Lytechinus pictus: one gene and its partner. The protein of the gene in region 1 purifies or fractionates together with the protein of each later gene. This does not show direct contact. Links are inferred from orthologs where the notes say so. Each region holds a gene or a part of one and is shown on either strand. Other genes may lie near its edges. The genes, in order: ribosome biogenesis protein BMS1 homolog and RNA 3'-terminal phosphate cyclase-like protein.

Evidence for each region.
Region 2: the proteins of ribosome biogenesis protein BMS1 homolog (region 1) and RNA 3'-terminal phosphate cyclase-like protein purify together in Homo sapiens (co-immunoprecipitation; 4 studies listed by BioGRID and IntAct, with this or other methods). This does not show direct contact. The link is inferred for Lytechinus pictus from reciprocal best matches to the Homo sapiens genes BMS1 and RCL1.

The regions. Positions count from the first base shown.
Region 1 is NC_087258.1:1,713,664-1,730,261, forward strand, and holds the start of ribosome biogenesis protein BMS1 homolog, read right to left. Parts: upstream 7,830-16,598; 5' UTR 7,743-7,829; intron 2,895-7,742; 5' UTR 2,840-2,894; coding exon 2,667-2,839; intron 2,052-2,666; coding exon 1,861-2,051; intron 1-1,860. Other genes in the region: fumarate hydratase class I, aerobic-like, read right to left, coding at 13,401-13,619, 15,176-15,295, 16,433-16,598. UniProt on the Homo sapiens protein: GTPase required for the synthesis of 40S ribosomal subunits and for processing of pre-ribosomal RNA (pre-rRNA) at sites A0, A1, and A2.
Region 2 is NC_087255.1:7,776,963-7,793,944, forward strand, and holds the start of RNA 3'-terminal phosphate cyclase-like protein, read right to left. Parts: upstream 6,977-16,982; 5' UTR 6,837-6,976; coding exon 6,823-6,836; intron 4,563-6,822; coding exon 4,504-4,562; intron 2,911-4,503; coding exon 2,839-2,910; intron 1,755-2,838; coding exon 1,579-1,754; intron 697-1,578; coding exon 625-696; intron 1-624. UniProt on the Homo sapiens protein: As part of the small subunit (SSU) processome, it plays a role in 40S-ribosomal-subunit biogenesis in the early pre-rRNA processing steps at sites A0, A1 and A2 that are required for proper maturation of the 18S RNA.

The DNA of each region.
Region 1 (16,598 bases):
CCTTTGACCTTGGTCATGTGACGTGAAACTCAAGCAGGATGTTCAGTAATACTTGATTAACCTTATGTCCAAGTTTCATGAACTAGGTCTATATAATACTAAATAGGTTCATTATTGCGGACTGAAATAATCGCTAGAGGGTATTCATTTGTCTCGCAATCTACTATGGTCAACAAAGAAATTCGTGATTACTCTCGCAAAAAGTGTTCACTAGCTTACAAGTTCACGAGCTTTCGAGTGCCGCTGCAACTCTTTATCAAGTGACGAAAATTATCAGATAACGAAGTCTATTTATACCAATCCCCAGGACCGTACGCTCGAACGCGGGAACAATGGGTGGGCACTGATCCGTCTTTCACCACAACTCAAACGCCGATTAGAAGGTCACGGTATCCGAACGGTTTTCCGCTCGGACACCACCCTACACAAACAGCTTGTACACCCCAAAGACCCCATCCCTGATCACAGACGTGATGGCGTAGTATACAACATTCCTTGCCAGGGATGTGACGGGTCTTACATCGGTGAAACAGCCCGACCGATAGTTGAACGCATTTCTGAACACAAGAGCGATGTTCGGTTACAGCGAACCGACACATCCACGGTGGCAGAACATGCTTGGGAGAAGCAACACCACCCAGATTGGGAGGGTGTACATTGCGTTGCCAAAGAAAGACATTGGTATACACGCAGGATTAAGGAGGCTATTAGTATACATCTTTGTCCTAACAACTTCAACAGAGACAGCGGGATCGACATCCCCGATTTCTGGATGCGAACCATCTGACAGCACAATACCCCCTTACCTGGCAGTCACGCCGACCCGATTGTTCCCGACCCCGATCCAGGGACCGCTCAGCTAGTCAACCCCCACCCACGGGAAACTAGCGAGCCCGCCAATTTTGTCTTATTTGCATATTGCCGACTTACGGCGTATTTGCATGTACCTCCGGCTTATTTGCATATACGCCCGACCAATCACATAACGGATCAGTGCCCACCCATTGTTCCCGCGTTCGTGCTTACAGTCCTTGGGATTGGTATAAATAGACTTCGTTATCAGATAATTTTCGTCACTTGATAAAGAGTTGCAGCGGCACTCGAAAGCTCGTGAACTTGTAAGCTAGTGAACACTTTTTGCGAGAGTGATCACAAATTTCCTAGAAAGCTAGTGAACACTTTTTGCGAGAGTGATCACGAATTTCCTTGTTGACCATAGTAGATTGCGAGACAAATGAATACCCTCTAGCGATTAGGTCCATATATTTTCTAAGTTATGATGACATTTCAAAAACTTAACCTTAGGTTAAGATTTTGATGTTGATTCCCCAAGTTCACTAACCCTAAATGACCTTTGACCTTGGTCATGTGACCTGAAACGCAGGCAGGATGTTCAGTAATACTTGATTAACCTTATGTCCAAGTTTCATGAAGTAGGTCCATATATTTTGTAAGTTATGATGACATTTCAAAAACTTAACCTTAGGTTAAGATTTTGATGTTGATTCCCCCAACATGGTCTAAGTTCATTGACCCTAAATGACCTTTGACCTTGGTCATGTGACCTGAAACTCAGGCAGAATGTTCAGTAATACTTGATTAACCTTATGCCCAAGTTTCATGAAATAGGTCCATATACTTTCTAAGTAATGCTGTCATTTCATAAACTTAACCTTAGGTTAAGATTTGGTGTTGACCCCGCCGCCGCCGCCGTCGGAAAAGCAGCGCCATAGTCTCACTCTGCTTTGCAGGTGAGACAAAAACCGTAGAGTACGGGAGAGGACCCAGTATCACAAATCAACTGAGAATGTTCCGTGGGGGAGAGAAAAAGTGACTAAAATTAATTCCTAATGATTTTACCCGATACAATTGTGACAGGTCCTTGGATTGTGGCTAGGTTCTGATGAGTGAAGTTCTTTACGAGGCAGCGGATTAATGTTGTCTTCCCGACCTTTGGAGGACCAACGACAGCCACGACGACAGGAGGCGGCTCGAGTGGCGTGCGATCAACGACTGGAATATGATGCTTCTTCTCCTTTATATCAAGTGTCCTGAAAAAAAAAAAGAGTTAAATGGAAAAGTGTAATTTGAAATCTAAAATCTAATATTCATAGGTTAGAATCACAATTAAATTTTTTGTTCAAAAATTGTAAGATGATCCATATCTTTCTTTTAAATGCATTTTCTTTTTGGCACACAACCAGCTGTAAGACATGGCATGGGGCAGAATTTTTAGGAAAAAATAGCTTTGTTCATAAACAGAATTCTGTTAATGTAAACATTAAATCTTCAACAAAAATGTTTGAAGTTATAAAAAACACAATTAAACATTTCCAGAACGGGCTCTCATTCTGATCACAGCCTCCCCCCCCAAAAAAAAAAAAGAAGAAAGAATTGATACAACTGAAAAATAAAAATCATACAGAATCAGTCTGAGAAATGATATAATGGTCACATGAATCATACTGTAGTTCAACCTAATTCATATTATTGATCCTTATATAATATCATCAGAATTTAAGACAGGCTTTAGGCCTCAACATCGTAATATTGCTACAGGCGCTCCAATGCAACCAACTCCGAACTGTTTGTCTACCGGTAACATAATAGCTTTTGTCAATCTGGAGTCAGTTTCACTTGCGTGGCTGTAGCATAAGGAAACATACCTGCGAACTTTGCGGGCTGTCTTATTCACAGACTGGATGGCAAAAGCCTTAGGATTGCGTTGACGGGCGGTCATGTTTTCATCAACTGGTTTGGTCCTTGCTTTCTTCTTCTCAAACTTCCTCCCAGCTTTCTGCTCTCTATGACTCTTCTGAGGTCTCTGCTCGTCCGCCATTTTGATTTTTGGTTGGTTGAATTCTCCAAGATGTGATCAATAAAGGCACACTGGTCTACAAAAAAAACCGAAAACACAAAGGGAACAGAGTAAGATTTATGACCAGAACCTGTTGCATAAAAATACTATTATGGTAACTTCGCCATCCAATAGTAACTTGCATTGAATCATTGATTTTGATTGGCTGTTGATCAGCGTTACCATAGGATGGCAAAGTTACCACAATAGTAACTTTTATGCAATGGGGCACTGGATAATTAAAAAGTCAAAGTGTGGTAAGAACCCAAACACAATGGCCCATATTCTGAACTCCGGTCTGAATCTAACTCTGGTCGAAATTGTTGTATGACTATGGAAAGCCAATTGTGACACATATCAATAATAACACAGATTGAAAATATCAGATCATATGACTCAAATAATTTAGAACTGTATGAGAATGAAGACTAACACAGTTGTATCCACCATTAAAACATAGTGAAAGAAGAAAGTAAAAATAAGGAACAATTTAAACAAATATTTGACATTTTCACAGCTTGTCATAATTTTAGCAGAGTTAAATCGCAGCCTAGTTAAACATGCATCAATTGGAAGCCTCTGGGGCCTGTTGCATGACGAGATGAGCGATACGTAGGAACGTCCTAGGACCATTCTTCCGAGATAGGAAGATTGGCGACAAATCAGCGCTTTCCGTTTCACGAAGGCAATTTTGTCTTCCAAGTCCGCGACATCGTTTGATATCGATAGTATTGGAAAAATATTTAGTCTTCATCGTCACCTGAACCTTTTATTTCTGAATGACGACTTTACATAAAATCCGATATTTCAATAAAAGGAGATCAAATAATGTTTTATTTATTACTGATAGTAGAATTGATGTATGGAGCTTACTTTATGAGGTAAAAAGAGAAAAAACTTTAAAGATTCACAAACATAACTAAATAAAATCGAAATTTTCATTATTTCCCTTAATTAGAACACGGTGTCTTTTTAGAGACACCTTTTATTGATATTTCAACGAAAGAGACCCTTGTCCGACATAAAAATTGATTTAACTAAGTAATTTCGACATTTATTAGTTAAATATCCTGTATTTTTATAGAATACTTGTATATAATGATAATTTTGCAAATTATGCGTTAATATGTTATTTGTTAAGGTAAATATAGGGTTTGAATGGAGTAAATAAAATCAACAGTGTCTGATTGTATGAGACTAAAAAGGAAAATATGAGAGGCTGCGTGTGAAAAATCTAATTTATTTATTTTATTTGTCAGATATAACGCAAGAAAAATGTGAGTGTTTAGAGTATAAACATACCTCAGTTGCATGGTGAGTAACAGAAGAAAATGAAAATATGAAAATTGCTGCAAACATGTCCAAGTGGATAAAGTAGTACTTTGCAATAATAATTAAAACATAGAAAAAGGTGTGAATTAATCCACAATGGAAAAAATACTTTTACAGAAATAATGCTAAATATGACAACGATCATAAACGCTGGTCATATTTAAAGATGATCACTTAATTTATGGAAGTTTATATAAGAATATAAGGTTTAAGAAATAACATAAAAAATATATATGTTCAACATTTCAAAGTTAAGGAGTATAGAGACTATATACGCTATGACATAAGGGCCGAAAGGGGCCTACCCTAAGATTTAAAATGCGCCTCTTCGTATGGACTTTCCATAATCTTTTATTTAATGAACTTATCTTCATTTGTAATGATTGTGATGGATTCGTAAGCTATAGGCTTAATCTGTATCTTAAATTCAATATTAGCTGCAGGTTTTTTGTTTTGTTTCACTGTTTCAAATCCAACAATTAATTTTCATTGATTAAAATAAATCTCAGCAAAAAAAAATAATTATAATGAAAATAAAATAAAAATAAATAAATGATTTAGCATGTTTAACATCTTAGTTTTGTTTGTCTTTTTTTTTTGCTGAATGTTATTGAACACATTTTTTACCTTACATAATTTCTTTTAAAGAAATTTGTTGTTTATCTATAATGAGAAAGCATGAGGGGTCAGCTAAAGAGATATAGGCCTAGTGCCGCCCATTTCAAGTATTTCAAGTTTATTTTTTTAATAGAAAAGGGGTGGGGATAAGACGGAGGGAGAATAGAAGAAAACATATTTAAAAAAATATTTGGCCCTTTATACATTACCCCCGGGAATATTACATGTACCCCGGAGAAGTTAAAATGACATCCCGCGTTTTTGGTCGTCCTGCCGTGCAAAAAGACGACCTGAAATTGATGACAACTAGCCCCCATATAAAAAATAACTTGGCGCCATCCCAGATAAAATGCATCAGAGTGCAACCAAAAAATGTTTAGAGGTGATATGTCAGTGTGGCTTGCCGTAAATGCATTTTCTCTCAATGCCGACGGTGGCGGGCGGTGTGCAAAGAAGATCATGCCTACGTAGGACATGTCTGGAGGTGTCTTTCCAAGGACCATTCTTCGTATCGCCCAAATCGGCTTTGTGAAACAGTTGAGCGATATCTCGTTCTTACGTAGAATGGTTCTACGAAAGACCCTTTCATGCAACAGGCCCCTGGTTTACAAGAGGCAATTAACAACTCTGATAAATTATGAGAAGAAAATATGAAATACAACCTATTCTTATCACTATAATTGATTTCATTGATCATGTCGACAGTGAAATATGGTTGGTATGTTTGAGTACCAGTAGTTCATGGGTTCTGTCATTAAGGTTAGTGAATCAAGAAATGATAAATCTAGACGATGGTTTGTAGTTAGTAACCATCGGCTTTAATCAACGTATCTCGGCTTTTTGTTATCTCCGATGGGGGCGCTCTATGCAAAACATTACAGACATAACTAGATGAGCATGGCCCCAATGGGAAACAAAAAAATTAAAGTTGTTAACATTAAACTCTTTACAGATAAGTTTTTCTACATTTTCATCCGAAGGACGGTCCAGAAATGACCAAGATCACCCATTTAATTTTGGGACAAAAAGTGCTCTTTTTATATCTTTGATAGTATAGGCACCAATCATGCCAGTCAGAAACCAAGGATAGTCTTTCCTCACAACATATTCTCCAAACATGAACAAGGTGGAAAGTTAATTCACCTGGACGTCAAGCAGGGTGACCAGACGTCCCGTATTTCCCGGGATCGTCTCGTATTTTGCTCCTTTGTCCCGGCGTCCCGACAAACCCTTCCCGGGACGCCTATTTATCCCGTATTTCAGAATACTGAACAAAACGAAGTCAACACATTTAAAAGTGACGAATTTTCATCAAATAACGCAGATGACAAAGCAGAGACAATAAAATCGATAACTAATCTTTTGCAAGTTCTGAGGTGATTTTCTTGCTAACCCAATACATTGCAAATGAACTGGCCTCCTGCCTGTGTGAGGCAGGCTAGCTAGGCATGTAGCGTAGGATCGGAGCAGATTCTCAATGCAAACAATGACATGATAAATGGTTTTTCCACCAAAATAATCACAAAAGCAGCAGGAAATTTGTATAATTATATTATGGATTCTCAGTTTACTGATTTGGAGATGTAATCGGAGGAAGAAGTTATTCAGAACTAGATCTAGTTGTTTCAGATTTCGTTTTGAGTCTTGTTGTGTATGATGCCGCGATGTTTCATCTAATTTTCAAGTTGACAATCTTTCATTTGAAATTTTATCATTATTTCCTATCTTTTATTCCTGATCCTTTCTATCTCTCTCTGTGTTCATTTTTCTTTCTTTCCTCCTTTCTCTTATACCTGCCTTATTTATTAATTTTTTTTTCCTTCATTCTTTCTTTCCTTGAACTTTTTTTGGCTTCCTTCTCCCTACCTCTCCTTTTTCTTTTTGTTCATGCTCTCTTTCCATTATTTTCTTTTTTTATTCTCTCCTCCCCTTCATTCTTTCCTCCCTCTATTTTCTCCTTTCTTTCATTCTTTATTTTATTTTTCCTTCTAATTCCTTTCCCTTATTATTTCTTTCTTTCCCTCCCTTCCTTCCCTCCTTCCTGTTTTTTCTTCTTTCTTTTTTTCTTCCTTTCAAAGAATGAGCGAAGGAAACATTTTTCGTTCCTTCATTCGTTCTTTCTTTCCTCCTCCTTTATTCTTACTTTCTTTTTTTTTCTCTCCTTTATTTTGTCTTTCACACATTTATTGATCTTCCCATCGTTTCTTTTTCCTTCTTTCTAATATATTCAATTCAAAGAATGACGGAAACCTTTTTTCTCTTTTATTCTTTCTTTCCTTCTTTAAATTAATTCTAACTTACCTTTATTTTTTTCCTATTTTCCCCTCTATTTTTTCTTTCTTTCGTCTTTCTTTCTCTCCTTCATTCTTTTGTTCACCCTTGCTTCCAATTCTTTATATTTTTTCACAAGTCTAACACTGTGTGGCCTTCTTTGTTGAAGTTTGTCGATTGTCCCGTATTATTTTTGTGAAATCTGGTCACCCCGACGTCAAGTGCTAACTTAAGTTAGAGTAACAGTATTGAGTGTGCCAAAATTTACTTAAATACAACTTCTGTGTGGGAGGTTGGGAAGGTGCAAGCATGCATTGCAAGTCAGAAAGAGAAGATGCAGTGAACTAGGCGAGGTGACTTTTTAACGAGTTCCGCACAATTCCAGCGAAAGTCGAATCGGCAGTCCGCGGGAATTGCTGGCGAGAGTATGGTGCGGAACCGTGGCGTTGGCATGGTTGGTCTCGTCACACTGTTTTTGCGAGAATGAAAACCGAGGAACATGAGGAATGCAATTCTATTTAAGAAAAAAATCCTAAACCAGCAACGCTACTTCTACATTCTTTCAAATTAAATATCCAAGTCATCCTTAAGGAGACAATCATTACTAGTAAATGGAAATCTAATGGAGAATAGAGTACTTTAAATTTAAAATAAAACAACTTACCGGAGTTAAAAACAAACGCGATCTTCCACGGCACGCACACGTGTGTAATTATAGTGTATGGTGGATTGGTGGTGTCTTCAAATCGCAACTGCATGGAAAATCATCGCTGTGAAAAGAAATTAGGGGGCCTTGGCTGAGCAGAGCTGGAATGCCATATAGGGGTGATAGGGGGCCGATGGGGGGGGGGGGGGGGCGGGGACATGCAATGCCACAAAACCAAGGAAAATTAAAAGAATTCAGAGCTGTTTTTCACAGGCAGGTGATGTGCACATGTACAGTTGAAAGTGTATCAAAGTTGCCAAAATTGAATACAAATAGTGTTTACTTTAGCCGAGGCCCGGAGCCGGGGCTTTCAGATGATGTCACAGTGCACGATAGAGGACAAACAATAGACCAGTTCATAGTTACTTCATGCCCAGGGGGGGGGGGGGTACTTGGATTCGGTTTGGACGGGGGTGTGAGGCTGAAGGTTCCTAACCCATACCCAGTATTACAGGCCATTTTGGCTAATAAATTTTAAACCACCATGTCACTTATAGTACCAATGACCTTCTTCTGATCATGCGCAGAATCTTCTGATCATACCGAGTGGAACCACGAACTGGCTTAATGGAAACCTGTGTTTACATACAATGATTTATCACAGCTAGTTTGAACTGTCCTCCACTGTGACATTGTAAACGCTTATATATTCTGGTGCATTTATAGGGTATGTGGAAGATGAGACAGATGGTCATGATCAGAGAATGATTTGTTTATGTTATTGTCTTCGTTTAGGGTCCATTTTAACAGTTCATGATGTGAGCATGGTATCCACCATATTAACTTTCTGAAGGGCGCACGTTCCATGTTTGTGCTGGAACCAAAGTGGATTGTATATAATGGAAACATCATGTGACATGAGTACATAAAGGGCCTCAGTCATTCGCCCTTAGTAACTCAGTCATGTAGTAAGGTGTATGCAGTTTTGCCATATGTTACGCAAAATAATTTCTGTATAAAAATCATTAAGTGCACTGGTAAATTTAATTTCAATTTTCTGTGAAAATATAGTACGATGATGGAATTGATATTACAGGAGAGCAGCTGCTTGCAATGTGACATCAAAATAATTAACTGATATACATTTCCACCAAACCTTCAATAATATGCTCCTTTAGTTTGTCAGCTTTAATTGGGCGACTTGATGCCGAGATCGAAAGCAGCTTTATCCCTTAACGGGGAAGCTCACTCAGATGTTCGAAAAGCTTGTTAACATACCCGAAAAAATAGTACAAAATATTGGTGAAGGTTTGAGGAAAATCCATTAAAGAATAAGAACGTTATTAGAATTTCAATTTTTGATTTGTGACATCATATACAAGCAGCTGCTTCATATGTTTTGTATAACATAAAATGAAAAAAAATTGTAATGTTTTAATGGTTCATGATGAGCTTATTTAAAATAATTTGTGTTTTGTTGATATACTGAAGGTACAATAAAACCCATTTTCAATTTCCTTGAGAAAATGAATTTCATTAGATTTTTTAATATTCACAATACATGGGAAGCTGCTTGCATATGATGTTGCAAATCAAAACAAAATAGAATTCTAATTACTTCTTAAATCTCTGAGGGATTTTCCTCAAACATTCACTGATATTTTTGTATTATTTTTCCTGCCATTTTTACTATAAACTTTGTTGTCAGAGTGATCAACATCCCCTTTAATAGACAATTTATACAAAGCATTTTTTCTAAGCTAAACTGTGATGGGATGTGCTTTCAAGTACAGAAAATAGTATGATCTTCAGTCAATTGTCAATTGGACTTCATCTACTTTGTCTACAACCAGTTCATCTGCTAATCATTTGAACTAATTTCTATAGCCCACTTTTTTTCTGTAAAGCTACATGAATTTGATCTAATATCCACTCAGTGTAACATCACTTTACCTCAGTCACATTTGCTCTAAGGCGGCCGTACGGCGATTCAAAAACTGAAGTTTAAACATTTTTGCACCAATTACTTAAGTTACACATGGTTTGAATAAAAATGAATAAAACGGCTGTTTTTTACTCACCGTACGGCCGCCTTAGAGTAAATGTGACTGAGGTATAAGTCTATAATAACATGGTTAGATGAACAGTTTATAAACCAAATTTTCATTTGGCAAAGCAAGCAAAAGCTTGAGACACCTGTCGGGGGGGGGGGAGAGAGTCAATTATGATAAGCAGTGGTAGTACCAAGCTTATTGTATTTTGCACACCCCCCCCCCCCCCAAAAAAAAAAAAAAAAAAAGGACATATTTTTTTCTTCTAAATAATAACTTCAGTATTCTTCTAATGTAACAGCTGTTTAGATGCTTGAATAACAAGTACCAACAATTTAAAAAGATTAATTGCCATATATATACATGTAGATCATTAACAAATAAACTGACAATAAAACAAGTAACTCAAGTAATGACTTAAAAATAACGACAAGAATAAAATGTCAAATAATTTGTAATGTATTCTTTAGAATATCTCTCTATACAAATTTACATAAATTAAATTCATGTAATGATATCACGGAGCATTTCATGAAAAGTTCAGTCAGAGATTTTCAATGACCATTGCTCTCTACCAATCAGATGAAAGGATTTGCAGTAGCTTATAACAATAGCAAAATCAATGACTATTTGTTTCATGAAAGGCTCCCCAGGTATAAAATCAAACCTGACAGCACAGAGCTGAAGGGCTACTCAGTAAAAATATCTTCCATCAATATTTGAACCGTTTCATAAACACTTGTTATAATAACAAATGCACAATTTCTATAACAAATGTACCATCAGCCGATCGGATTGAAGGATTTTGATAGTTTTTAAAAGTTATTGCAAATTTGTTTATATAACAAGTTTTATGAAACGGCCCCCAGGTCACGTGACTCAGACTTTGACCAAGGCAAAGGCCAGCAGAGTGTGACCATGGCTGCAAAAACTTACTCTCCCCTTGATATACTAGCTGATGAGCAGAGTACATGGTTGTTCATTTCACAAGATCATTTGAGAGCAATGCTGATCAGTGGAACCTCAGTAAAGGGCCCTTCTGCAAAAAAGTTACTTTGATAGAACTTTGCCATCTATTGGTAACTACCATGGTTACAATGTTCAACAGCCAATCAAAATTAAGGCAAGAAGTTGTCATCGTAATGGTTACTTTTGTGTGTCAGATTATTGACTTTGCCCAAGTCCAATTGCTTATGAGTACAGAAATAAGTTTACTTCAGTGAAATACAAATTAGGTGAATTACAGAGATGCATTTTGCATACTCCGGTCTGGTCTGTTTTTTGTTTGTTTGTTTTTATAATTGACAAAAGACAATCATTTTATGTATGGAATATTGAATTTGGAAGCAGACTTAACTGTGTATAATAGAATGAATGAAGAAATAAGGATATACAAAAAGATATATGACCTTGGCTTGAATAGATACAGTATAAGCAGAGACTGGAAACTTCAGCCTCTCTATTCATTGGTTGTTCCATTAAACCCATTGGCTCCTATTCTGAAACCTGGTTTAACCCTTAAACCATGGTCTAACTCTGTGCTAAAATTATGGGAAGCCATAAATGTCAAAATTTTGTTTACATTGTATGTTTCTTATGTTTACTAAGCTCTTTCCTCATTCTGTAATACTGAAAAAACTATCTTATCTATCCTTTCCACACTGCTATGAATGATTTGGGTGTCAAACGAGCTGATAAGTTGAACCTTTACTGTTAGAGATTTATGTCACAATTGGCTTTCTATAGTTGAACCACAACTTTAGATCAGAGTTCAAATTAAACCTGAGTAATGAATATGTGCCATTGTATACTGGAACCAAATGATCCTTGTGCAAAGTCTATTGGAATCTCTGAATTCAATTGTCAACAGGTTAACCAAATGCTTACTGGAACCGGGTGATACATGTGCAAAGTCTATTGGAATCACAGAAATCAGTTGTCAACCGGTTAACCCATTGCTTACTGGAACTGGGTGATATGTGTTCAAAGTCTATGGGAGTCTCAGAATTCAGAAGTCAACAGGTTAACCCATTGCCTACTGGAAGAGGATGATCCCTGTACAAAGCCTATCTGAATCAAACAATTCAGTAGTCAACAGGTTAACCCATTGCTGACTAGAACCGAGTGATACTTGTGCAATATGGGAATCTCAGTAATCAACAGGTTCACCCATTACCTACTGGAACCAAGCAGTCCCCCTACAAAGTCTATGAGAATCTCTGAATTCAGTAGCCAACTGGTTAAGCGAACTTCTGGATCCTGTGACACAATGGTCAGAGGTTGATCATACAGTCGACTTTCACAATTGACAGTAAACAATGGTCAATGCAATCAATCAATAAAATTTGCCTAAGGGCATTTTCACGGTAACTGACATTACACGGCACAATTTTACACACTTTTCATTGTGTGTATGATTCATCTCTACAACAACAAATGATGGGAGTTTGCTTAAAATGCCCCTAAGATCAATTTGTGATACAATGCCCTTGCTCTATGAACCTCCACACACGGAATGGTAAGTGTGGGTTTTTAACCCATTGACCCCTATGCTTGAGCTAGGGATGGGGTGAGTGGAAAATGTGTGTCATACTTAACCTCAAATGATATCATGTTTGATACATGTAGGTTTAAAAAAAGCTTCCCAGAGCTGCAGAACAGCTTTGACAACTCCCATCTAGCATAACTGGCAGATACAGTGTATGGTAAAATATCAAACTTACATCAAAACATCTTACAACAGTATAACTGGATGATTAAATACAATACACTGAAGGCAAAATATATAATTTGAATGTTTGACCATTTCTAGACCAGGGTCATCACCTGTTATTTTGTACCTATCAGTCTACCAAAGTTTATTAGAATTAAAGAGGCACTTAACTTGTTGACTACTGAATTCTGCAAATCCCATAAGATTTGTAGAGGGATCACCCAGTTCCAGAAGGCGATGGGTTGATTGAGAAGTCAAGAAAGAAAGGAGGACTATTTTGGAACGATCGACTTGAGTTTGAAACAAGGACAGTCTTATGATAAATGCCATGTTTTCTTGCCCAATGTTTCGAATTTTGAGAATCAATCAAACAGCTGATCATATGAATTGATTAATTAAAAAATTAACGACACTATCAACACATGCGTGTCATATAAGTGTCGGACAGTTAATGAAAAGCATTACAAGCGATTGAATGCTAACTGACCAAGCCTGGAACATGTGAGGTAATCACTACCATGTCTTTGACTGTCTGCACGAAGGGAGGGCAATAAGTATCTAACTGACCAAACTAAAAGTGAACTGCATTTTTCATTATGAAACAAATAAGCATAATATAGGGTATTTATTCGGATTTAACAATCACAATACATGCTAAAAATCTAGGACTTAAAAGTGGGGAGAATTTTGACAACGACAAGTTTTTGTTTCATCATATATGTAGGAACAACCATGCTTTAATCTAGTTTCTAAAAATAATAAAGCACCATATTCATGCCAGCTGTACTCAAGTCGGGATGATTGCAGAGCAATGGACACTGAATCAACGTTTGTTATGTTCAAGGACAAACCCAGCCATGATGGAAAAATCAGTCTACAGTTCTTGAGTTCTTGAACCCTCAATGGTATCAATCATTCCACCTGCCACTGCTTAAAGAAATCATTCCCCTTGTCATCGACCACGATAAAAGCCGGGAAGTCCTCCACCTCGACTCTCCAGATAGCCTCCATGCCTAGTTCCTCATACTCCAATACCTCAACTTTCTTGATACAGTTCTGAGCTAAGATGGCTGCCGGACCACCGATAGAGCCGAGGTAGAAACCACCATGAGTCTTACATGCCTTGGTGACCTGTGAAACAAGAGTAGGGAAGGGTAGAAAATCGGTTAATCAGACTTCTGAACTCTGGAATACCCTCAGGCATTGTACATGGACCACCCAGATCCAGTAGACAATGGGTTAATAGATTATAATGGCATGTCAGAGAAGCACCTGATTAAGCTGACCTCGAGGTTAGATCATCTGCCCCGCACATGGAAGGTTTCAGGTTCAGACCAGCAGTTGGTTAATACCAACAAAAATTTAGTCATAACTATTTCCTTCTTAGGTGCTCGTAAGTGCAAATGTAGGGAAATTAAATGAAAGGAACTACTACAAGGCCCAGATTTACAAGAGGATTAACCCGTTGACTGTTGAATTCTGTAATTCTCATATATTTTTTACAGGTACCAGCCAGTTCTAGAAGTCAGCGGGGTAAATTATGAGGGTGTACTCTAAAATATACCCAAATACTGGTAAGTACACATTGTCCCTGTATACAACTAATATAAATGGATCATACTCAGTATGCCTGCATGATTACTGTGGAAAAGATTAATATCACCCTATATACTTAAAAAAAAATAATAATAATAAACATAGTCCCAAATACAAGAACACAAATGATAGACAAGTTAAAACGAACAGTGTAAACATTAAAGATTAAAGGAACGCATCTTAACCCCCCCCTCGACAATTTTTGCGATATATCTGCTGCGCAAATTTTTTTGACCTCGCCGCTCACTGACTTTTTACTTTCAAGTCTCGCGCAAATTTTGAGACCAAATTTGTGACGCCCGGGTACGCGGTTACGACATTACGCAACATTATGTAAGTGCATGTCAGACCCAAAATTGCTCATAAACGTGATTTCATGTACAAATCCAATGCAAATTGTGTATTTGGCCAAAATTCATAAATGTATCATATTTCTACTTTTAATGATCAAACTTAATTAATTTTGCCTTGTTTATGATTAGAATTAAGTCTGGAACGATTTCCATTGAAAAAACAATAAAAAACAAAAAGTAAAAAAACAGGGAAATACATAAGAAATTTAAAAAACAATTAAATACATAAGAAATCGGTCTTGGTACCAGAATTTTTTTCATTCACAATTGTTAGGAATGCTATAAAGAATATTTTCACCAAAAAATAGCATTCTAGGAGCTTTATTTAGTGAATCAGAGCAAAAAGTAGGATTTCATGAATAAATTAGCATAATTAATTCATATAAAATAAAAATATATGAATTCAGTGAAATTTACCAATGCAACTGCGTAGATTACGTCATTCTCTACCATCATGCAAATTTTCGTTGTGATCGCGCAATCCACGGCTGAGATCTTAAGGGGGGGCCATAATGCCCCCCCCCCCCCCCCGGGAATGACAAGAATCAGAATACCCCGGGAGATTGAGGGTTAAAGGTTAAAATTTTCCAAGATGCCTTTGACCAAATCCACAAAGCTTTGAGCCTCACTAAAAATTCAATCAAGAATTTACAACTTTTCTTCTGTTCCCTTTGACCAAGATGTCTTGTAACCCCAATACAACAAGCTTTTAACCAAATTAAACAATCAAGAACTTACATCTTTACTTCGGTTCCCCTTGGCTAACATGACCTTTGACCCTCCAGCTGCCTGGAACGAGTTGACATAAGAGTCCATTCTTCCTGCTGTTGTAGGTCCAAAAGATCCAGACGCATAACCCTATAATCATGTGAAAGACAACAAATCATCAGACACAGTATTTTCTCACAAACTCTAACTAGAAAAAGATATTTAAGCCTATCACGCCATAACACATGGTCAAAGTAACTATGACACATTTTTTAACTAATCACATTTTGCATTTAATTTCAAAGTTCCAAAGTAAAATTTATTTGAACATCAGCAAAATGCTTGGAATACTAAAATCAGAGTTATGCTTTGCTGCAAGCCTTCTGGTCCGAGTAAAGTCTAAATCGTCTTCGAATTGCAGCCAAAGAGGAAGTCATTATGATTAGGATTTGAATCTGCTTCCGTCCTTACAGGGAGGCTAGAAATAAACTGGAATTTTTATTTAGTATTCATATCACGATTCAGAACTATCATCGTTAAGATTGCATAGGTTGAAATATCATATCACATGCAATTACAACTTCTTTAAAATTGGGTTGCAACAGATCCTGTAGTGTGCATCAGGCTGTAGTCATCATTAAAGAGTTATCTCCAAAACTAAAAAAATAATTACAAGGTTTGCTGAATTAAGACTTTTTTAATTCTCATGTCAACTTAATTGAAGATTTTTTTCAATGAGATTTATTGCTACCCATGTAGGATTATGACTTCATGGACATACAGTCATGCTTTACTCTGACACAAATGAAATTTTACATCACAGCAAAGATTACCTCCTGATCATCCAACCGTCAACATATACCACATAAAAATATTATATCAAATTATCTGAAAGTCAGTACATTTTCGGGACACATATAACAGTTGTGTGTTCATGATGATTGTTTTTTTCGTTAAATCAACGATTTTTGAGGTGGAAAGTCTTTTTCTGACTCACTAGGCATAAATAATGCATATTATCACTCAAGCACAGATCCAGGGGGTTGCTAAAGGTGTGAGCACGCCCTATTAACTATGAAAATATAATGGTGTACCCCATAGAATACCTTATTGCCGTAAAATGAGTGATGACCCTTTTTTTGGGGGGGGGGAGAGGCTTGTCATGCTTTCTGGGAGACAAAACATCCTTCATTTTTGACTGATTACTTTTTGGGGACGAATTCGCACCCCATAAAAGTCAGAATCTGGACTTGTGCCTGTCACTATTATTATTATCATCATTCTAACCTCTGGAGTCTTTGCAGGTCCTGCATAGTAGACTGGATGATCCTTCATGTACTGAGGAAGCCCTTCACCAGCATCCAACCGCTCCTGGAGCTTGGCATGGGCGATGTCCCTGGCCACCACCAACGTTCCGGTCAGGCTAACCCTTGTCCTGATGGGGTGCTTGGTC
Region 2 (16,982 bases), on another chromosome or scaffold:
TTCATGAGTCCACTCTTCAAACAGTGGACTCATGAATAAAATAGCGTTTATAATAACCATGGTCACAGGCGTCAATTTGGCACACTGTGACAAAAGATCGCATCAGCATTGGACATGTTTTATACACGCGCCCGATACGCGCTAAATTAAGCGTAATTTATACAGGAAATCTGCATAAACCATGGACTCAACCGTGGGTTTTCAAAACCACCTTTGTGAATTCGGGCCATTGAGTCTTACATTGGTTAATAAAAGGACTGCATTATGACAGTGATATATATTCAAGCAAGCAACATAAGAGCAAAATAGCAGAGTTTAAATCTACATTCCCTAATGCAAAACATCATTTTTCCAGCTAAAAACAATGTATTGCTGATAGCAAACCCCATTCCAGGGCTAAATTAACCTAAAAATCACGGCTGGTCTCAGATGACCCACTGACTGCACTCTACACCCATTTAATTACCCTTGGACATATTTGGTGCTATTTTAAATTCCCATTTTTTGCTGAAATGAAGAAATATGTCCCCAAAGAAGAGTGGCTTTGCCCTTGAAATATTAAAATTTAAGGCCTGCCATCCTAATCTGAATGATTTCTAGTGCCTCTGAAGTCTCTTCCCCTACCTTTAGTTCTAATCCTTCATCGATTCCAAATTTCCTGAGGACAGGGAATGTCACTGCCTTGATCACATCGACCTGCAGATAGAGAGAGAAAGAAAATTAGTTTCTATTCAAATTTCACATTCCATATCTCAATCTCTTACATGCTCCTCATAGTCATATTGTACATTTCCTTGTAATTTGTAAAGTGATTACACAAGCTTTTGACCATTGGAATTCCATCATTGGTCGATTTGATCAACCTTGACACAGATTTAGATTCCAAAGAACGTGGAAGTGTTTCATGAAAGGACTTGCCAGATGTTAAATCATATGATGTACGTTTTATGCAACAATTACCATCTAAACAATATTAGACAAATGCGCTTCTAAGTTCAAAGCGAATCGAAAATACACAAAGATGTCGAATCTGATAATCTAACAGATGAAAAATATGGATTCAGCGATCTCCAGAGTTATTTCTGTTGATGAAGGAATTAGCATATCATTTAGCCAAGCTTGACTGAGAAGTTAGGAAGTAGAAGTACAATGACAGCATTTGATTTCTTGACTCTGTCATTTCAGAGAATGAGACGGTGTCATAGTACTTGACCAGCAGAAACAATATTTCTGCATTACATCTTAACAATATACATAAACTGTTCCTTTGCTCTTCCTTCAACTCATATCAATAAATTAAAGAACATGTGATTGTTATTAATTTTTCTTTTTCGCTTAATGTTAAATAAAAAAATGATAGCAATCACAACAACATTTGACTTTAGTTCTATGAAAGGAATTGCATAATCTACAAAAAATATGCCAAAAAATATTGCCAAAAATTCTTAGTTCAAAGAAAAGACTTTCAAGACTCCCAATTTAGTTGTCTTATACTCACTGTATAAAGCAAAACCCACATTAAAATTCTTCCTCCATTTTTGCTACAAATCAGTCTTGACTGGACAAAGTTTCACTTACCGAAGGGTCAATCTGGTCATTGGTCACACCCCTCAAGACAGCCTTGACCGGCTTCTTACCGAACGGAGCGAGACAGATCAAGGCTTCCATGTAATATCCTAGAGCCCTCTGAATGTTGCAATCATGTTCTATGCTACCTCCTACAAGAAGACCAGGCTGGTAGCGCACTTGGGTTCCTACAAGAAAACAAAAAAATGAACATAAGTTAGGTGCCTGTACCACTACCACATATCTAATTAAAGGTCCTGTTGCATTGTTCCGTGCAAGCCTTGTGGGTAAGTTGCGGGCAATTACCCGCAACTCACCCGCAACAAAGTTCTGAGCATGTTCAAAACTTTTCTGATCAGACTTGTGTGCGCTTCTGCGGACAACTGCGAGTGAGATGCGTGCAACATACTGTCAATGCAGTCGACCTGAGGTCGTCCGCAAGTCACGCACAAAGCTTGCATGGAGCGATGTGACAGAGCCTTTGAATATTGGTTGTGAGGCTGATTTCTATGATTGATCATACACAATAGAAATCATAAACCTTTATGTCAGAGGACCCAGTTAAAAGGGCACTCCGAGCTGAAAACAATATGATTTGAACAGGTAAAAAAAAAATCAGACAAACAAAACACTGAAAATTTCAAAACTGGACAAGGAATAACAGAGTTATTATGACATTTTATTTTTTTGCATTATTTACTTTGGTCAAACAGTTTTATGCATATCTTCATGAATATGCAATGAGCAAGCTGAAAATATCATATCTCCACTTATTGTTTTGTATTTTACTATATGAAAGTATGTTTATTCACATTTTGTCCTACAGTCCTCATCTCCTCCAAGAATGAACAAAATAAGATTGACTACTGATTTAATATATAAGATAATAATTGTTGCAACTATTATTTGTAATCAGGGAGACATACACACACACACACACACACATTAATGAAAATATGAAATTATTAGAATTTCATGTAAACATAGGAAAAAGAAGTGTTGGTACATGGCATCATCAGCCAACCTATTGCATATTTGTGACGGCGTGCATATAATTGTTTTTACAAAATATTGATGAAAATAAAAATTCAATACCTTTGTTATATGTTATAAGATTTTGAAAATTTTTAAGAGTTCAACTTCTGCTGAACGGGATCGGTTGGTTTTCCCATGCTGATTATCGGTTTGTCAAAATAAACTATGAGGACAAAGGGATAATTTCAGTGCATTATGAGATCTTATAAAAATGGGAAGCGGTGATTTGAATCTTACCTGTCTGGTTAACTTCAATATACGATCCATTAGTAATCTTATCCAGAAGACGGATGAAGCTTGCTTCAAAGTCTGACAAAAGAAATAATAGTATATTCATATATTTACATCAAAATGATAATTACAAATATATTTTACAATTAAAAGCTCTGGGGCCAAATTGAGCCCATTTGTGAGCTCACACATTCTTAGCAAGAACCTTGCTTTTATATAAAGACAGTCAGATAATTATAGCTTAGACACCTGGACTTTGTCTGTTTGGAGATGTTTTAGTTTTTTTTTGTTACTCCTCCTGTACACAGACAGCTAACCACCTTAAAATCATAAAATTCCACCAATATCATAAAAATCGCTTTATGATACTTATCGGCCGATGCAAGAATTTTACGATTCATGATATTTATCGGCCGATGCAATTATTTAAAAAAATCCAAGTTGGCAGCTAGACACGTGTGCGGTATCTACATGTAGGTATCAATAAAGAAGGCAAGATGGCGACGAAAACAGACTGGGTAAGTAAACACTCATGCTCTTCATTATTTTTCAAATATACTACTATTTATTGAATAAATATATGCAATGTTATCAAATATTGTTTTGGCCCATGTACGTTAGTTTGGGCTCAAAACGATAAGTAAAATGTGTGATTTAGGTCTAGTTTCACCGTGGGAAAACCTACGGTATATAGAGAGCAATGGTATCCCGACCCAGGCTTCATGGAGAGTAAGCCTACGTACAGTAGAAATACTTTTAGGCCAAGTAAAAAAAGATAGTTGATCGTCCGGGTTTTATGAGAGCAGTGATGAGGGAGGTCCTTACTATTTGCTATCTTACTATTTTCTTTAAAAACAAGGAGGCATTTTGTCGGGCCATTTTTTGACATCAGTGATGAGGGAGGTCCTTACTATTTACTAAATTTTTTGCTATTTTTTATTCAAATGATTGACGCAAAAGTTAAATGTATCACGTAATTATAAATAATTATACTAATTATTTATAATTACGTGATAAATGTTAACATTTGCGAAATATTTTTTTTCTATAAATTATTAATCAGAACGGCATCGCTAGCCGGAAGTACGTCATACATAAGCCATTCAAGGGTTGACGCTATTGTACTTACGTTGTTTACATGTGGATTGAGGGGTCTACTCGACATCAGTTAGGTCAGAAACCTTAATTTTTTCACATTTTTATATTATAATTTTTAAAACCTTCCTACCCATTAGGCGTAGGAAGGTGTAAAAATCAACAATGAACTTCATAAAATTCAAGTGATTTTTTTCTTCAAAAGATGGATTTCCGAGGGAAATCCATCTTTGTTCTGGTCCTTCTCTTGAACTGCGACTAAAAGTATGGGAAGAGTGTCAAGACGTCAATGATGAAGAAGTATATTTGATTATTTTAAAAGTTATCATCATTGCGTCCTCAAGTCAAAACTACTTTCGCACGCAGTCCGAAGGAATTATTTCGGCGACCACGTAGTCATGACGTGATCTGCGCGATTGGCCAATCAGCGGTCTCCAATTCGCTGAGCCGAGACGGTCTATCCGTTGTTGTACACAGTACAACAACGGATAGACAATACACCACAGGTGGTATGTACGGCATAATCGTGATATAGTCCCCAAATCCAAAAGTGGGGATTATTAGAATCACACCTACCAGAACGCATGAAAATCACTTCCTTTCTCCAGAACACAATCTCCAACTCTCGCACAACTCTGTGGCAAAATGATAACACACAAATGAAACACATTGTATATAAACACTAGGGTTCTCTCCCTATTATATACTCGTGATACAGTCCCCACTCAACGGGAAATCAAGCTTGATTTTCACGGCGGTGGGGACAGTTTCAACAGTATAGTATACTCGTGATCCAGTCCCCACGCTATGGGATACACGGTTCACTTTGCACGCAGTGGGGACAGTTTCAACAGTATAGTATACTCGTGATCCAGTCCCCACGCTATGGGATACACAGTTCGTTTGGCACGCAGTGGGGATAGCTCCAACAGTATATTATACTCGTGATACCGTCCCCTCACAACATAAAATTGTGCTCGTTCAACAAGGGGATGGGGACAGTTTCCCGATGCATTGTGACAAGGATAAAACATTTTAGGGTATGGCTGCGGAAGTTGAGGGAGGGGGGGGGGGGACTTCAGCCCCGCTTCAGCCCCTACCTTTTTCCAAAACATTGTGAATCATTCTGAACTAAAATCCTATATAAATGCCTTCATATAGCATAAAAGTGCAAAGTATAAATTGTAATATAAGTTCAAAGTCTTTTTTTCCAGACCCGGTTAATTAAAAATTATAATATAAGTCCAAAGTCTTTTTTTTTCCAGACCCGGTTGTTTCAAAAATTATCATATAAGTCCAAACTAAGATACCATAATGATATTCCAGTGGAATAAAAATTAAAAATCGAATTTAGTCTTTTCTCCAAACCCAGTTATTCCAAAATTATAAATAATAATACAGCAACAACAACAACGTTATTCTACATCAATAATATTAGGGGGGCCTTGGTTAATTAATATTGTTTGTTTTTATTGTTACTCATGATTTCCTATTTTGAAATAACTGGAGCAAAGACTACACCATATTTCTGTGCTATTCAATGTTGATAAGATTTCAGGGTTTTTGTTTTGTTGTGTTTTTAACGATTTTTATAACTGGGTCTGGAGGAAAGACTACGCTATATTTCCATGTTATTTAACAATAATAAGAGATTGGGGATCTTTGTTACTTTTTTACTCTTTAAGAAATGATTTGTAAAAGTGGGTCTGGAAAGGAAGAAATTACAACAATTAATGCGGGGGGAAAGCACAAGGCTCCAACAGCAAACTCGGAGTGGGGGTGGGTGCAAGAATGAATGAATTAAGAATGACACGAAAATAGTCAACCACAAAACAATAAAGGAATCAATACAAATATGTGACGGAAATGAAAAGGTGCAACAATAATGATAATGATGAGGTAATTTTATAATAAAGAATAACAATATTTATAATAGTGATAATTATGATTATGATAATAAGGTTAATAATAATAATAATAACAATGGTAATAATAATAAAAAATAAGAATAATCATTGTTATAGGAAATAATAAAAGAATAATAATAGTAAAGCGAAATTATCATAATAATAAGTAAAAATAAATGACAGTAAGAAAAAAAAGAACAATAATAATGATGATAATAATTATGACAATAATACCAAACGTTATGAGTCTACAGCGATTTTATTTGAAGGAATTACGTGAAATACAAGAAACGGAATGGATGGAAGGGGCATATTTTCAATGATAAAGAATATCTATACTAATGATATCATTATTTTGATAATAATAATAACAACAATAATAATGATAATAATGATAATATAATATTACCAATAATGATGATGATGATGGCAATAATACAGGGGCCGCGGAACGGTTTTCAAAATGGGGGGGGGGCTGACCATGCAAAAAAAATCATAATCCCATGGTCACATTTTTACGTTTATGTTTTGGAAAAAGGTGGGGGCTAAAGTCCCCCCCCCCCTTCGCGGCCCCTGTAATATCCAAAGGTGCTTTTTCCTTGTCACAATGCATTGGGAAACCCCCCCCCCTCCCCCCAGCTTCCGCAACCATACCCAAAGGTGTTTTTTTCCTTGTCACAATGCATCGGGAAACTGTCCCCATCCCCTTGTTGAACGAGCACGATTTTATGTTGTGAGGGGACGGTATCACGAGTATAATATACTGTTGGAGCTATCCCCACTGCGTGCCAAACGAACTGTGTATCCCATAGCGTGGGGACTGGATCACGAGTATACTATACTGTTGAAACTGTCCCCACTGCGTGCAAAGTGAACCGTGTATCCCATAGCGTGGGGACTGGATCACGAGTATACTATTAAGCTTGTAACCGATTTTGCAATCGGCAACCGATTCCATTCGATTTCACCACAATCGGCAATCACTTGCCGATCTTCGATCATGCTCCTTGAAGGAAAAAATCGAGGTGCTAGCTATTTAGAGGTCGCATTATTCAGGGAGAAAGACGCGGTATTATCTATGGCGATGTTTAAGAGGATAGATATCTTCTCTTCCAACTCATGGTGATAGCGGATGCCGCCGTGAACTTTGAAAGGTCGTATTACCGACGGAGCTCACTGCGTTACTCTCTTACAGTATTGCTCGGAATAAAGTTGACACCCTTCCGAAGGGTCACGCATCTACCGCGAGACAGGCGTGACCCAAAAAATTACCACCAGCCGATTTCGCGCGTGAAATTCACGCGTCAATTTCACGCATGCAGCTGGCAGAAGAGAGGCCCAATGCTCACGTAAAACACGAGATTTTTTCAGATTTGATCTCTATTTGTTCATGTAGTTTGCGCCTCAACTCTAGGCACTTTTTTGTCAAAACACGACGCAATCCCGATGCAATCCCGTCGGTTTACTGATGGATGGTCTATTATCACTTGGTCTAATCATCAGATGGGCTAACAACATTCGGGATAAACCCACTTAGTCCAATTCTCTTTTAATTCACCATCCCGTCATTTGCACTTCAAGATATTCAACCCGATAGACAGCGGGTTGAAAATCCTAAATTCCCAATAGCTAGACAGCGGGTTGAAAAACTGCCTCAAGCGCGCGCATCAGACGAGTCCCCGCTAGAAATCCATGTGCCCAGCTCCTGACCGAGTGACCCAGTTATATTTACATCTTTGGCTTAAAGGACGAGTAGATTATCTTTCCACTGTTTATTTGTGGAGCTAGCTCCATGGTTTATTTTTCAGTGTTTATGTTATCAAAGACGTCTTCCGTTTTAAGGACAAGTCTTGCTTTTTATGCAGGTTCCCTCATATTTCACTCTTTTAAATTGTCTTTAATTCCAAATCGCTATTTTCTTTAATTTGAATTAATTGTTGTCTGATTTGTATTCTCATAAGTTTTCTGATATTATTTTCATAATTTTGTTTGTACTTGTGAAATATGTAAAATAAAGTCAAATCAAATCAAGTAGATAATCTTTTTCTATCTTTTATTTTTTATCTTTTGTTCTTCAATTCTGTAATTTTAATCGGGTACGTATTTCATTCAAAAGAACGAGTATTTTCATCATTTTTCTATTCATCATTCAAAGAAGAAGATTCGCTTTCCATCATTTTCTGTTCATTGTTTTTTTGTTTTTTTTAATCAGTAATACATCGTTCATTTAAAGGACGAGTTGATTTGCTAACCATCATTTTCTGTTTATCAATTCTGTTTTTTCTTCAATTTCCTCACTTACGTCTTTTAATCAAAGATTCGCTTTCCATCATTTTTCTGTTCATAAATTCTGCATTTTTATTTTATCAGTTACGTCGTTCATTCAAAGGACGAGTAGATTTGCTTACCATCATTTTTCTGTTCATTGATTGACCCTTTTTTCATTTAATCAGTTACGACGTTAATTCAAAGGACGAGTATAATTCATATTTGAGTTTTATTATGAAGTTATGAAACAGAGATTTAGAATCAAGTTAGAATTAATCATAGTTATAGAACATTAAAAAAAAAACACAACCAATGAGATGTGAAATCCATTAAGAATGGAACAGATATTACTAGATTTGCTAACCATCATTTTCTGTTCATCAATATTCTGTTTTTTTTTTTCATCACTGACGACTTTTATTCAAAGATTCGCTTTCCATCATTTTCTGTTCATTAATTCTGTATTTTTATTTTATCAGTTACGTCGTTCATTCAAAGGAAAGTAGATTCGTTTTTCCCAATTTCTGTTCATCATTATTCAGTTTTTTTTAAATAATTTCATCATTTACGTCTTTTATTCAAAGAAGATTCGCTTTCAATCATTTTTCTGTTCAATTCTGTATATTTTATCAGTTACATCTTTCATGGCAAGAACGAGTTGATTCCTTTTCCATCATTTTTTGAGTTCCATCAATTCTGTGTTTTGTTTTCATTGTTCATCAGTTACGTCTTTTATCTAAAGAAGAAACGCTGTCCATCATTTTTCTGTTCAACAATTCTGTATTTTTATTTTATCAGTTACATCGTTCATTCCAAGAACGAGTAGATTCACTTTCCATCATTATGACGTTCAGAGCACGAGTAGATTTGCTTTCCATTTTCCTGTTCATCAATTCTGTGTTTTAATTTAATCAGTTTCGTCTGTTTATTCAAAGAACGAGTAGATTTGCTTTCCATCGTTTTGTGTTTATCAATTCTGTGTGTTTATTTTATCGGTTACGTCTTTTATTCAAAGATGATTCGCTTCCCATCATTTTTCATTTTTTCGCTATCAATAACAGTTGATTTTATACCCAAAGATATTAATTAACAATATCATCATCATCATTTGTATATTTATTCTCCTCATTCAATTCTTCTTATGTCTTTCACTTCTTTTTGTTCCTGTTCTTCTTTCTTTACCTTTATCTTTACCATGTTCATTCGTTCATCCACCATATCATCTGTTGCTTCTCTCTTATCCTTATCTTCTTTATCCTTTATTTCTTTCTCTTAGCCGTCGTCTTCTTCCTCCTACTTCGCCCACTTTTCTCTTCGATCGGCTATCTTGAACCCCCCCCCCCCTTCCCGGAAAAAGAATACCCGCAAGTGGCCCTTCTTTAAATGCCTAGCATCAGCACTTTCTGAAAAATCTTATTCAGTCCCCCCCCCCCCTTGTATCTTCCTTAAATATTTTTTTTGCATGTTGTGTTACTCTGTTCCCTTTCTCTCCGTCCATCATTCCAGCAACAGCCTCCCCCTACAAGTAATATATCGTCTTTTTACGCCCGCCCGTATAAGACGAGACGTAACTTGGTATCACGCTCGGTATCCGTCTGTCCCTCCATTCGTTAACATTTCCTTATAAACATGATAACTCCAGTTTAACTTAAAGGGATGGTCCGGGCTGAAAATATTTATATTTTATTACATAGAATAGAATTCACTGAGCAAAATGCCGAAAATTTCATCAAAATCGGATAACAAATAATAAAGTTATTGAAGTTTAAAGTTGAGCAATATTTTGTGAAAACAGTCGTCATGAATATTCATTAGGTGGGCTGATGATGTCACATCTCCACTTTCCGTTTTCTTATGTTATTACATAAAATCATAATTTTTTCGTTATGTCATACTTGTGTGAATAATATGTCTCCCTTATAATGAAATAAGTTGCAGCAATAAATATCAATGCACTAAATCAGTTGTCATTCCAATTTTTCTACTTCTTGGAGGAAAAAATTTGAATAAACCTCATTCATATAATAATATACAAAAGAACAAGTGGAGATGTGACATCATCAGCCCATCTAATGAATATTCATGACGACTGTTTTTCCCAAATATTGCTTAACTTTAAAATTCAATAACTTTGTTATTTGTTATCCGATTTTGATGAAATTTTCGGCATTTTGCTCAGTGAATTCTACTTTATTTATTAAGTTATAAATACTTCCAGCCCGGACCATCCCTTTAACCCGAGGCTTATATTATTTGGTGTGTATATGATACAAGCGTCAAAAGGTCAAGTCACCACCTTCCACTTTTTTTGCTTGACCAATATACTCCATTTTCCGTGTAACCCGAGCGAACACAAAAAACATTGACAAAATATCAAAAAAAATGTTTGGTAAAACATGAAAATGTTTAAGGGAAATGTTAAAATCATATAAAATGTATGGTTTTCTCAATGCTATAATACATTTTCCTAACGTTTAGCATTTAAAACGTATTTCCCTAATGTATTTTAGTAATATTAATAAAATGTTGCAATGATATATTTTTACGAATTGACTCGTTTTAATCCATGTGCATATTATCTCTTGCTAATTTGTTTATTTATATTCATTTTATGTTGCCCTGTGTACTGTTCGTCTATATAGAACAGACAACCTGGACTTATTGTAATTGTTTCTCTTTTTATCAAGAACAGGTGATTTTATACAGAAAAATATAATTGATTTTCAATATCAACATCTTCCTCCTTATCATTTTTCTCATGGCCATCATCGTCACTCTCATCACCACTCCGGGCCCCCAAATGCCGACTATATTGGACAATTTGGGGGTGGGCATTGATCATAGACTGGCTTAATCACTGATCAGTGGGCCGGCTTAATACATGTTCTATTCAAACAGTTACACAAAAGATCATTGTGTAACTTACAGTCTTCTCATTGTTAGCTGTTCTTTAATCTTCACACCTCTATTCATTGTCCACAAAACGCGCCAGACGGTGTAATTAATTGACCCCAGTCAAGTCCACATATAGCTAGGGTTGTTCAATTCAACCACGTTTCAAGAGTAATTAATATACGAGTAGACATTCCTGATCTTATCTAATATCTGTATAAAATAATGTACACATTAGATAGGGAAGATTGATACTGAAGAAATAAAACAATGTAAGAGTCTTGTACCGTCATATTATACATGTATGACTGATGGAACGATTGAAGTTAAAGAGAAATGCGAGAGAAGAAAGGAAAGAATGATCTGAAGAAATAAAATAATTAAATGTATATAGACTTAAAAGAGATTGAACAAGAACGGTAGAAGAATAAAAGATAAGACAATAACAATTGATAGTGAATAAAATAAGAGGATAGACGTAGAAGATATTCAACAAAAAATTAAGAGCGATAGAAGAAAAGAGGACCGGAACTATTGATATTGAATAATAAAATAAAGGGATTGACTTAATAGAGATTAAGAGAAATTAAGATATATATATATAGCAGGCGTATGTGTACGTGTAGAACAAGAGAGGTTGATACTGACTAAATGAAAGCAAATGATGGATAAATTGGAACGACTGATAAGAAAAGAAATACATGTAACCCACCCCCTCACCCATGCTGATGCCAGGCCGTCCTCGACTATACCCGATGTTCAAACTAAGTTTGTCTTTCCACATTTCTAGCTGATTGTTTTACTTTAATCATTTTTCATACACATTCATGAAAAACGTACTGCGCAATTTAATGTCATTTAATTGGATATATTTCTTTTTTTTATTTAAGTATACTGCCACTTCCGGACATAATTGTTTCCATTATTGTTTTATTGCTTGGTTTTCCCTCATTCGCTCCCTTAATAATTTTAATCACATCATATCACTACTGAAGTTTAGGGGTGGATCCAGCTTTTTCAACGGGGCCCGGGGGGTTGTATGCTTATTCAGTAAAATCTTACAAGTTGATAAAAATGAGTTTCACTCCCAAATAAAGGTAATATATTCCACGAAAAATCTGAACATAAAAGCAAAAAGAAACCTAAACGAAAAAAAGTCAGTTCATGGCCGTATGCAGCGGGGGGGGGGGGGGGGGGTGGGGGGATATTGAAAACTTAATATTTTATTTTTTTTACAAAATTAATTAAAGGCATGCACGAAATGCTTCAATTGCCCTTTACAGAATGGAAAGACGCAATGACAAGCTCGGTCACTTTTCTCACTTCCTTTCAATTTTTTTATATTTTATGCATCTTGCCCACCCCCCCCCCCTACCCGCGAAAAATTTCTGCATACGGCCATGGGTCAGTTCACTTATGTATGTCCGATATTTACCACAACAAATATTTTAATGACTCTCGATTGAAAGGGGGAGGGTGCTTATGCCCCCCCCCCATCCTCTACGGCTCAAATTCACATTTTTTTTAATTTCAAAATTTTGCTTGTTTCGATTTCAAATGGGATTTTCAATTTCAGAAAAATTTTCCTTAGTACTTGTTCCCATTCTTTATAAAGTTCTCGCTATGCCTCTTAGAACTTGTTTTATTTTTTGTAGTATTTCTCGTTGATATTAGGCATAATCTATTTATTTTATTTTACTCCTAAATCATACTATAATTAAAAGAAAAAATCCATCTCGTGCGAGTACTCGTTTATGCTTTTGCAGATACCGTACCAGAAATGCACGAGCTCGAAAGAAAATCAGATTGCTTGAACTAAGTTACAACAAAATCACCAAATAGAAAGTATTTCGTGCTTTTTGTGCTATCCCGGTGATTGTTACTGAATCTAAACTCATTCTCTTCGGTAAAATGATACAGGTATTGTATTTTTTTAATGATGGACGTCCATTTTAGAGACAAAATCGGAAGTATATGCACTGTCACTGTCCTCTCTGCCTCTGCTCACATGTACCGCCTACTGGTACCGTAGTGTACCGTACGATGACTACCTAGCTTAGCTACCGTATACTATTCTCGTACTAGTGACCGTGTGATGGTAGCTAGCTAGCTAGTACTAAGTTAAGTAGTACAATTCTTCAAGACTTGGTTAAGCCCAGGCCTAGCGTTGATCGTATACCCATATATGCTTACTTTGTCTTTGTAGCAATGCAGATATCGACGAGTGAGGGATATGTTAAGCACATTACAATTACAAGCCTTCACAAGGCACAAGCAATTTTAATAATGTTGATTCTACTCGATTGTCATAATGTGAATGTCCAGTCAGATCCTTTTTATGCCCAGTCGCCATATTATTACCAAGTTAGTAAAGATCTAGTACCACTAAAGATCTATTTGAGAATATCGACTAGGAGTAGGATTGTAGATCTAGTCTAACCCATGCTCATGATTATGACAGTGCAGAGCTCCGATTTACCTCTATTCTGGATATGCTATCATAAAGAAATACGAAACCTGCATCATTGGACTGAAGAAGAGTAAGTCTACAACATGCAAATACTAACGTTATGTCTACATTTTTTAAAATACAGACAGCAAATTAACAATTACAATGTAAATGTTAATTTGCTGTCTGTATTTTAAAAAGATGTAGACCTGACGTTAGTACGTGCACATGGGCGAATTTGTAAGCAAACATAACCGAAGATATAATACTTACAGTTAATTGACCTGATGTTAATCAGGCCAATGTGATCCATTGTCTGACTTCAGTGGTTCATCTTCGTGCCTTCAGGCTAATCCACCGTTGGGTCTTAGTTAAGACCAAATCTTTACTTATATTGACAAATATACATCTATATATCAAATCAAATGCATGTTTCTAAGGAATGATAAGGGAAAAAATGAGTCGAGCAAGCATTAGCGTACCTACGGGGGGGGGGGGGGGGCAGAGGGTACAGACTGCCCCCCCCCCTGATGAGTCACGACCCATGCAAGAGACGTATCCCTGCCCCCCCTAACAAGCGAGCGAGATACAGATGGCCCGCTCCTTTGAACTTGAAGACCTTTTTTTTGTCAATTTTTTTTCTGATATGAAATCCATAATTTGTGGTTGAAGCCCTTTATTTTTCTTTTTCTTGTCAAAATTTTTCCTGGTATAATATCTTTTATTTCTGGTCGAAGACCTTTTTTTTTTTGCTTGTCAATTTTTTTGACGAATTTGCCCCCCCCCCCTTTGGAAAATCCTAGGTACGCCACTGCGAGCAAGAGATGACAGCAGAGGTGACGTGATTCAGTGAGAGGAGAGAATATAAAAACAATTCTGAAAACTACCATTCGAACAATGAAGATTAATAAAAATTGATAAAGATATATGGTTATGACAATCGGGTGACAATAAATTGACACTTAATTTTTTTTTTCTTTGTTAATTCATAAACACCAGATTGAGCGTCGCATAACAAAAAAAAACACATACACAGAAAAAAAGGGATTCAAAAGGATTGAGAAGAGTGGAGTAGAAAAAAAGGGTAGGGATCGAGGGAGAAGTGAGCTGAGATAGCGATAGAGTAGAAATTCAAGAGTGAGACATGGGTCAAATGGAAATATATCAACATCAAAAACGATAAAAAATAAAATATGAGGAAACAAGGGAAAAGAACACTGATTGTAATTAAGCATAAGTCGAGGACATTCGTGTTGCAATCAAATTAAGCCCTGTACGTCCTGTGTTTGTGTGACTGGATCGAGTGGTGGGAGAAAAAAAGGAGTTTATCATTCCTTATATCATAATGGCGGAAGAATGTTTGGCAATAATGCACTGAAAATATGATGAAATTAAATCATTCTGGTTGCAAACAAAGTAAGAGAATGACGATAAAGGAATGTAAGGAAATAAACAATAGGTCTATTTTTTCCAGCCTCGGCGTCTCTTGCTTAATCTAGCCACCCCGCCCCCCTTTCTCTCCATTTTCTTTTGCTCTCTCTCTCTTGATCATTTCCCCCTCCATCTGTCTCTCGTATCTTTCGCTCTCTCCTTCTCTTGCTCGACTCTGTCCATTCTTATCTTGGATGCTCCATTTTCTTATAACTATTAACTACTTATCCCAGAAAGTACGCGATCTCATCTCGACCCGACTTTCATTCAACGAAGTTCAGAAAGATGTAAATTTGAGGGCGATGACACGAGCGTGCATTAAAATTGTGCACTCGCGCCAAGCTCAACAGCTCTATGATTTTTTTTTGTTTGGGTTTCGAGGAGACGGCATCTTACGGCAATAAGTTGTTGCTGTACATCGTAATTTCGAGAGACATCGCGGCAAGTCAGGAGGGCTAATTCGAGCCATGTGAGTTGTCCAAATGGTGACATTTTATTAATTATCAAATCAATATCTCTTCGACAGAAGATCGTCCCTCCTTCTGCGGTATTATCGCGGTAATACACGAGATTTTCAATTAAAAATCTCGTGGTACATTACCGTGGTAATTTCTCTCAGAGTGCGACTCCCGCCGATGGAAATTTGCTGGTGGTAATCGCGCGCGACCCGATTTCACATCGACTTACGCGGTACAGCGCGGTAAAGCGTCAACTTTATTCCGAGCAATACTGTACATCGTTTATGATTATATACATTTTATTTTCAACCTCGTGGTGATAGCGGATGCCGCCGTGAACTTTGAAAGGTCGTATTACCGACGGAGCTCACTGCGCTACTCTCTTACCCCCTTTATAATGATATAAATCTTCTCTTCAACCTCGTGGTGATAGCGGACCCCGCCATAAACTTTTAAAGACTGTACTATTGACGGAGCTTATTGCGTTACTCTCTTACATCGTTTATGATGATATACATTTTATTTTCAACCTCGTGGTGATAGCGGATGCCGCCGTGAACTTTGAAAGGTCGTATTACCGACGGAGCTCACTGCGTTACTCTCTTACATCGTTTATGATGATATACATTTTATTTTCAACCTCGTGGTGATAGCGGATGCCGCCGTGAACTTTGAAAGGTCGTATTACCGACGGAGCTCACTGCGCTACTCTCTTACCCCCTTTATGATGATATACATCTTCTCTTCAACCTCGTGGTGATAGCGGACCCCGCCGTGAACTTCAAATTGATTTGAAAACGCTAGCTACCCAAAACATTTTAATAACATATTTCAAATCATCGTGCGTGCTTGCGTCTTCTACTTCATTTTAATTGCACTTGCGACTTTAAGATGATGCGTCGTAAGAGATCATTCCAATAATTCTAAATCGCTATAGCACCTAAAAATACTCCTAAAAGATGTCCCGCCGATCGTTCATTAACCTGTGATCTATGAGAAATATTTTCATTTTATTTTCCTTTGCGCCTTTGCTCGGAAGATGCGTCTTTCGTTTATCTTTCTAATAAAAATCACTCGGTTTATTTTAAAGCAATAACACCTCAAAACCCCTGGCTTTAAAACATGTTCCAAACGATCGCGCATGTTGGCGACTTCCATTTCAATGCATTCGTCTTTGTGACTTTGTCAGGAAGATGCGCGCGACCGCGAACAACATTTTGATGTATTCCTTTGTTTTTAAACATCGCCGATTCGATTTTCGATTCGATTTCGATTTTAGAAGCTTAACTGCCGATCCGATTTTCGATATGATTTTTGATCCGATTTACAACATACTGTTGAAACTGTCCCCACCGCCGTGAAAATCAAGCTTGATTTCCCGTTGAGTGGGGACTGTATCACGAGTATATAATAGGGAGAGAATCCTAGTGTTTATATACAATGTGTTTCATTTGTGTGTGTTATCATTTTGCCACAGAGTTGTGCGAGAGTTGGACTTGGAGATTGTGTTCTGGAGAAAGGAAGTGATTTTCATGCGTTCTGGTAGGTGTGATTCTAATAAGCCCCACTTCTGGATTTGGGGACTATATCACGATTATGCCGTATGTACTTATATAGGAAGAAGAAGAAGAAGAAGTCTATGGACAATTT